Bombyx mori: one gene and its partner. The protein of the gene in region 2 purifies or fractionates together with the protein of the main gene of each other region. This does not show direct contact. Links are inferred from orthologs where the notes say so. Each region holds a gene or a part of one and is shown on either strand. Other genes may lie near its edges.

Evidence for each region.
Region 1: the proteins of cyclin-H (region 2) and general transcription and DNA repair factor IIH helicase subunit XPD purify together in Homo sapiens (affinity purification with mass spectrometry; 3 studies listed by BioGRID and IntAct, counting the BioPlex papers as one, with this or other methods). This does not show direct contact. The link is inferred for Bombyx mori from reciprocal best matches to the Homo sapiens genes CCNH and ERCC2.

What each region holds. Positions count from the first base shown.
Region 1 is NC_085127.1:13,513,917-13,517,573, reverse strand, and holds part of general transcription and DNA repair factor IIH helicase subunit XPD, read right to left. Parts: intron 2,873-3,657; coding exon 2,774-2,872; intron 1,135-2,773; coding exon 1,047-1,134; intron 965-1,046; coding exon 873-964; intron 1-872. UniProt on the Homo sapiens protein: ATP-dependent 5'-3' DNA helicase. Component of the general transcription and DNA repair factor IIH (TFIIH) core complex, not absolutely essential for minimal transcription in vitro.
Region 2 is NC_085113.1:12,695,652-12,699,408, forward strand, and holds cyclin-H, read right to left. Parts: upstream 2,354-3,757; 5' UTR 1,901-2,353; coding exon 923-1,900; 3' UTR 42-922; downstream 1-41. UniProt on the Homo sapiens protein: Regulates CDK7, the catalytic subunit of the CDK-activating kinase (CAK) enzymatic complex. CAK activates the cyclin-associated kinases CDK1, CDK2, CDK4 and CDK6 by threonine phosphorylation.

The DNA.
Region 1 (3,657 bases), on a different chromosome or scaffold from region 2:
CAGCCGTTCTTGAGTTTTAGCGAGACTAACGAACAGCAATTCATTTTTATATATATAGATTTATCGATGGAGGCACTACGAAGTCTGTTATAAATACATATTTGGCTCAGTGTGGTTAGTGCGAGTTTTTTAACATAGCGTAAAAGTTAACCCAATTTAGTATGCAGTTGGAACAGCGCCTCTAGCGGCAAACGTACGCAAACGTTCCAACTCCATACAAATTCGAGTTAACTTTTACGCTATCGAGAACGTTAAAAACTCGCACTAAGCACACTGGTGTAAAGTTAGATTTTAAAGTGAAACTTTTATTACATCGTCTCAAACTTTTCCGTCTGTGTGTTGCATGTCGCGTGACGGTCGGCCGCGGAGTAGGGATAAAGTGAAAGGCGCTCGTCAGAGCAGCCAAGGCCAATATGGCGGCGCCTATAGTTCGCAGCAGCTGACCGTGTAGTGTATAGACTATTACTCATTTGTGCCAGTGATCCACGCTATTGTTTGTTTTTGTCAGTGTTTAATGTAAATGGTGTTTGTCAGAGTTAAATGTCTATAATGTGAAAAAAAAAGTTTCACTTTTAGCGTGGTTTCATAAAACACACAATCCTTTTTATTGCTTAGATGGGTGGACGAAGTCACAGCCCACCTGGTGTTAAGTGGTTACTGGAGCCCATAGACATCTACAACGTAAATGCGCAACCCTCCTTGAGATATGAGTTCTAAGGTCTCAGTATAGTTAAACGCCCCCCCCCCCCCCCCTTCACACCGGAACGCATTACTGCTTCACGAGTATAATTAATCATCCTTAAAATTTCTGACAGTAACTAGTGATGCTCTATATGTAAGGGTCCCGCTGGTGGGGCGGCGGCGCCACTTGCCTTGATGTAGTTGATGAGGGCGAAGCTCGTCTCGGCGGAGTCTTGCGTCTCGATGAACAGCAGCTTGTGTCGCTGCAGACTCGCGACTACACCTGCACACGCGTTACATTTGTTACGAGAGGGGCCCGCGGACATCACGCTGCATCGTGTTTATGTGGCCGAGTTTCCGCTCACCCTGGTCGTACCAGGCCCCCACGACGCTCTCCAGATACAGGTACGACGTGAAGAAGCACACCACGCCGTCAGGCACGCACGCCGACATCTGTAGATGAGAGAACATATATTTACTAACACTCATTTATAAGTACCGTTACGCGCTGGGATTCGGGATAAATAAAATTCTACCGAATTACAAGTTAACACTATATTAGCACTTAGAACACTTAAAACACTTAACAAACGCTTTAAAACTCTCAATTCGCTTCTTCCGCTTCGCTTCTGGTGATCCTTTCGCTGTTCCGATTACTGACTGCGTGTTTTTTTTTCCTACCTAAGCTGAGAGCCTTGAGAGGCTATATCAGCGTAGCCTTAACTAGTAGGTGAGCTCACGGGGCTCAAACCTGACAACATTTCTAACATGAGCCCTAGCTAGCGAGCCGAATCGGAATTGTAACCCACTGAGAAGATCAGGCGAGAAACTCAGTGGACTGTGTCTGAAGGCATCTCTGCAACGCTTTTATAGTCGAGCCGAAATCCCGAGAATCGTCGAGAATATTTCACAAAAGTCTAGTATTGTGTATTTCCGTTATCTGGCAATAGATGACGTTGTACTTCTCGAGCGTTCTAGATGTTACTAGATCCTTCGATATTCGTTCGACTATTCGGCGATAGATGGCGTTACTCTTACCGGCGTAACAGTACTAATGGTTTCCCAGTTGTACACTACACTATAGATAAATAATATTAAACTTAACGCCAGGTGGGCTGTGAGCTCATCCACCCATCTAAGCAATAAAAAAAAGTGCGCTCCTCTATATTGTTACGCCGGTAAGAGTAACGCCATCTATCGTCGAACAGCAGAAACGAATATCAAAAGAACCAGTAAAATGTAGAACGATCGAGAAGTGCAACGCCATCTGTTGTCAGACAGCAGAAACGCATATTGAAAATACCTGACTTGTGAGGGATGTTTTCAATAATTCTAGGGATGTCGTATCGCCGGCAGTGATGACATGGATCAGTTTGTTAATCGAATCTACTCGAAGCGAAACAGCGAACGGATCAGCTGAAGCGAAGCGAAAGAAGTAAATTGAAAATTTTAAAGTGATTTAAGTGCTAATTTGTACTACCGTAGAATTTTTATTTATCCCGAACCCCAGCGCGTAACAATATTCTCTATGAGTGTGAGATATTTCATACTACTCCGCAAAATTTTCATAAAAAGGGGTACAAAGTTTTTGCTTCACCTATAAATATACAGATAATAATATTCAGATATTGTGTGCCGTTTTATAAGGACGGCATTGTTGTAGGTGAAGACAACGGTAAGATTGAGGTTTATTGTTTTGATTGTTCTCAAGACGATGAGAAGTGGTTAAATTTAATATCAAAGACAGGTACGCGAGCGTCTATGTTTAGACGAAACTGTCTATAGGCATTGTAATTGTGACCATCCGTTGTTAAGTGAGTAACAATCAAACTGAGACGATAATTATATAAAGAACTCATTTCAGCGGGGTGCGTTTGTACTGTAAAAACTGAGACCTTAGAACTCATATCTCAAGGTGAGTGGCAGCATTTACGTTGCAGATGTCTATGGGCTCTTAATACCAGTGGGCTTTAAGTTCGCCCACACATCTAAGCAATAAAAAAGTGACATGGTCGCCATATCGCAGGAGTCTTTCGTGGACATGTGCAAGATCCATATGACTATAAGCGGCGGCGCAGTACGAGAACGGTACCTCGACCAGCAGCTGCCCGTAGTTCCTTATGACGGCGACGTCCTCTCTCGTCTCGTACTTGGACGATATGGCCACCTGATCGCTGCCCTTCGATACTATCTGAAAGATATAACAAAAAACAATTATTAGGTACAGAGGGACGCAAACGTGCATGGATATTTGTATGAACCTACAGCTAACGCCATTTTTTTATGAACAAAGGATTACTGGAAATTCCTCCGGGCTCTTTTCGGTTTCACCAGGACAGGTGGGCGAGCAAGGGCTCAGCCAGGAGAGGTAGGATTTGCTAACAGCTGCCCGAGCGCCTCCGAAGGAGACCTAACAACTCAAGAGCAGCTGCTTTGCTAATGAATCTACTACCGGATCGGAATCGCGACCCGCTGAGAAGATCCGGCGAGAAACTCGACGGGCTGATGCATGGGTTAGGTTGCACGGCGAACTCTTTGTCGAGTTCGACGAATACGGTTACCGGGGTCCCTCAGTCTGCTCCTAGTGTTAGAGCTGAAGGCGTCTAATTAAGGCATGCTAACGCCATCTGTTATTGAAGGGCGGTACTAGCTGGTGATGTGTAGTAGTCTGTTACTGGTACCAGATTGTGCTTTATTAAACATGTGAAAAATATTTTGTATGGTGCATGTACAATCTCAATGTTTAGAATGAAACAGAAGATAGGTAAAAATATGTACCTAATAAGATGATTGATGATTTAAATGTGATGAAGACAAGTAAATAAACCCAGCAACGCCATCTAATTAATGTATATTAACTCGCATAAAAATGCACTAACGCGTTTCGGGTTTCGTACCGCCGTTAGACAATATTGAGAGTTTGACCTCAAGCCTCATGGTGGGTAGCGTTATGCACGTTATGATATGACTACGGGA
Region 2 (3,757 bases):
AAGACTAGACTACCAGCATATAGGTAAGGGAAAAAAACTAGTTTTCTTCCAACCAATCTTACTTTCGTTTATTAGTAATACATAATTAATTAGATACATACAATTAGAGTTGGTTCAAATATTATTTACGTCAGTTAATTATTGATTTTGTTTACATTCTGGCCAATCACAATCTGGTGGCTGGTTAACATAATGGACATTGGCTTGACAGCGCATCAAAACGCAACTGCTGAGAGAGGATTTGATTATTGTAAAGTCAAGGGAGACTCTACAGATTATAAAATAATATTAGTGGCAGTCTTGTGAGTCCGTATAGGTATGTGCAACTGTGCCTATTTGCGCTGTGAAGCAGTAAGGGTGGGGCATCTGTTGTACTGTTAAAACGGAGACCTTAGAGCTCGTCTCAAGGTGGGTAGCAACATTTACATTGTAGATGTCTATGGGCTCCAGTAACCATATAGCACCAAGTGGGTTGAAGCTTATCCACCCATCTAAGCAATAAATATAAACTAACCACATCCATTTTCTTTAACTAAGGTCATAAGTATTTGTTTTTTAGTGTGTGTAGAAAAAGCTTTTGAGACCTGCAGTTTGCAATAGATCAGAACAGATTTAATACAAGATAATGGTAAGTACAACCATAAGTCCTAGGCTAAACTTCAAATATACTTAAGGTGACTACATAGTATATTGCTTTCATGACACCGAACTTACAAGTTCTACCATAGTTCATCCCGTTCTAGCACACATTACAGAAATACAGGATTCTTTTGTTGCAAAAACAGCATACATAAAATATCATGAAAGGTGTACTTAGTTATTTTAAATCCTACTTAAGAATTACTTTATTTAAATTTACAGTCAATAATCTTATCTACATTTTTATTTTAATTAATATTAGGTCAACTTTTATTTCTTTTATTTAAGAGGCAGAAGGTGATAGAACTTGTGTAACTCCACTTGTATCTAAAGACATTCTACTGGATCCTACATGTAAAACATCGTCTTCGTCTAGCAGCTCTCTCATCCGACGCTTGTAAATCTCACTGTCAGGGTTATTTTCTTGGTTCCGACATTTGTCTAATTTCTTCTCTATAAGCCGTACTCGTTCTCTAGCTGGTGCCTCTACCATTTTTACTAATGATCGAATCTTTCTTACAGCTTCAATAAGTATCGCCAATTTATCACGTCCCGCATCTCTGAAGAGTATGTCTGTCACGTAGCTATCCAAGTTCTCTTGTTCCTTGCTCGCTGCATGGAGTACTGCAGCTAAAGCAATTTGTGACGGAGCATACAACAAGCATGCATCAGTTAAGAACACCTTTTCTAGGAACTCATCAATACCACTACGAAGACGTTCAGGATTAGCCAATGAACATCTAGTTTTAATGTCTATTAGGAATCCTTCTACTGGTCTGAAAGGATTATGTATGGTCAAATGGTAGTTTAATTGTTGCATTAGCAATAATTCATTGTTTAGTATTATATCTGATGCTTTTTCTCGATCTCCTTTGATATTGGCGACGAATTGCCCGATAGAAACGTTAAATTCTTCAACTTTACACGCTAAATACACGCAAGTGGCTAAAATTTCTTTTGGATGATAGTCCATTGTCGAGTTGTATAGATAAAATCGTTTAAAGTAATGAAAGGCTGTGCCCACCACCCCTTTGGGCATTGGAGGTGTGAATCTCTTGCAGAATTCTTTCAGATGGAGTTCGTATTGCTTTAAAAGTTGTCGTTCTTCATCAGGAGACAAGAAATACGTGAAACGTTGTTGCTCGTCGATGTGCGAGTTCTGTCTCGCGTAAAAAAAATAATTGTGTTTTTCACGTAAGCGTGCGAGTTCATTTTCATCACTGAACGTCCAAAATTTTCTTTGAGAGCTGGTAGAAAACATATTTTACTTGGAAACTAAAAGCGGATTGTAAAATCTTCAAATTCAGAAATTTGCGACTATCGTTAAAAGTTTGACATTTAAGGTGACATAAGCTATTGACATTTTTAATTTTGAGCTTTTGTTTCTTGTTGGCCGCCTCCGGTAAATTGTTATTCCAAATAAGCGAGGCGCATCCCATATTACCTTTGCCAGTTTGTGGTTACCGAACCCTGAAATAAGTCTAGCCCTATATGATTAATCTATTTTAATTTTTAGCATTTTAGGTTAGACATATTTCACTTATAAAGGTTTCTGAATACATTCCGGACTAAATATAGGATACTAGATAAACGACTTCGACACAATTTTTCAAACTATCTAATACCAACGTCTGCAAGAAGCAATAACCATTTCATACCAAATAAACTAGATGCAAAAAGTTCCTTTGCAAGTCTAGGTGGCCAAAAAGTACTGACTCTGGTTTTTTCGATAAATAATTAATCTATGTTATAATTTTACTGGAGCTGAGATTGCATGGAATAAACGGAGAACAAATCTTTTGATAGCATCGATTTTGAAACTGAAGTAGATTGTCGTTCCTCGTGTTTTATTTATCATTTAAATAAATATTTAGTCTTCAAACCAATAATGCTACAGATGTTGGCCCAGATTTTTTTTTGGCTCAGGGTGTAGTTCATTACACAGACTAGGGTTCTTGGCTCTATCTCTACAAGAACAGTGAATTACATGAGCACTACTTCTAGATTGGTGCGCCGACGCAATAGTGGCATAAACAAGCATTTTCATATTTACTGCTTCCAGCTTCCTCTTCCGTACGTTAATTGCTCAAAGGTCCACTGCAACAAGCCGATTGTGTACCCAGCCAGTTAATCCTGCTGCCTCTAACTATCGCCGTCAAATATATGTTACCTACTTTATACAGCATTAGGAAGCCCTTGGGTGTCCACTTCGATAAAGCGGCACGACACGAGAACCCTCTCATCGTGGCCGCCAGTAACTACATTCCCGATCCTGCGGACAGAATGGGAAGCAGTCGACGTCGCCCAAAACACGTCATCTCGGATCCTCCCGATCCACTAACGGTGCTTTTAGGTACTTCAAGCACCGGTCACCGTTCTCGTCGAACCCGTCGCTCGCGACGAAGGGCTCGACGAGTAAATTAACTCTCAGACACAGCCCACTGAGTTTCTCGCCGGATCTTCTCAGTGGGTCGCGTTTCCGATCCGGTGGTAGATTCTGCGAAGCACGGCTCTTGCTAGGGTTCGTGTTAGCATCGTCATCAGGTTTGAGCCCCGTGAGCTCACCTACTAGCCACGGTTACGCTGAAATAGCCCCTAATCAGCTTAGGTAGGAAAAAAAAAACTGCTTTAGTTTACTTAATCTAGTTCTACATAAACGATATCATATTTTCGAACTTTTGAACCACGCAAACAACAAAATATGTTGATTTCACTGCGATGTTTTAAATACATAGCAATAAATAAAAGAAAACCTAAAAATAAACAATTCAAAACTATCGTTATCTAAACTAAACTATAGTTTGAATCATTGTAGAAAGCAATACCGTACAATGGGGTAAATAAGGACAAAATCGACCTTCAGATTGAATTTTAAAATAGTTCCAATTAAATAGTCACTGCTCAACCAAAGAAATAAGTTGAGTCTTGAACGTACCTAGGTGATAAAAACCGTTTCATTATTTTAATTATTCATTTTAAAGAAATAATCGGTAAAATAATGGCCGTCCCAATTTACCCAGCGTCCGGGGTAAATTGACACGGTTAAGGGTTGAATTGGGATATTTGTAAGGGTTGTCAACTCGCAGTACTGCGATATATAGGTAGGTGCCATATAATT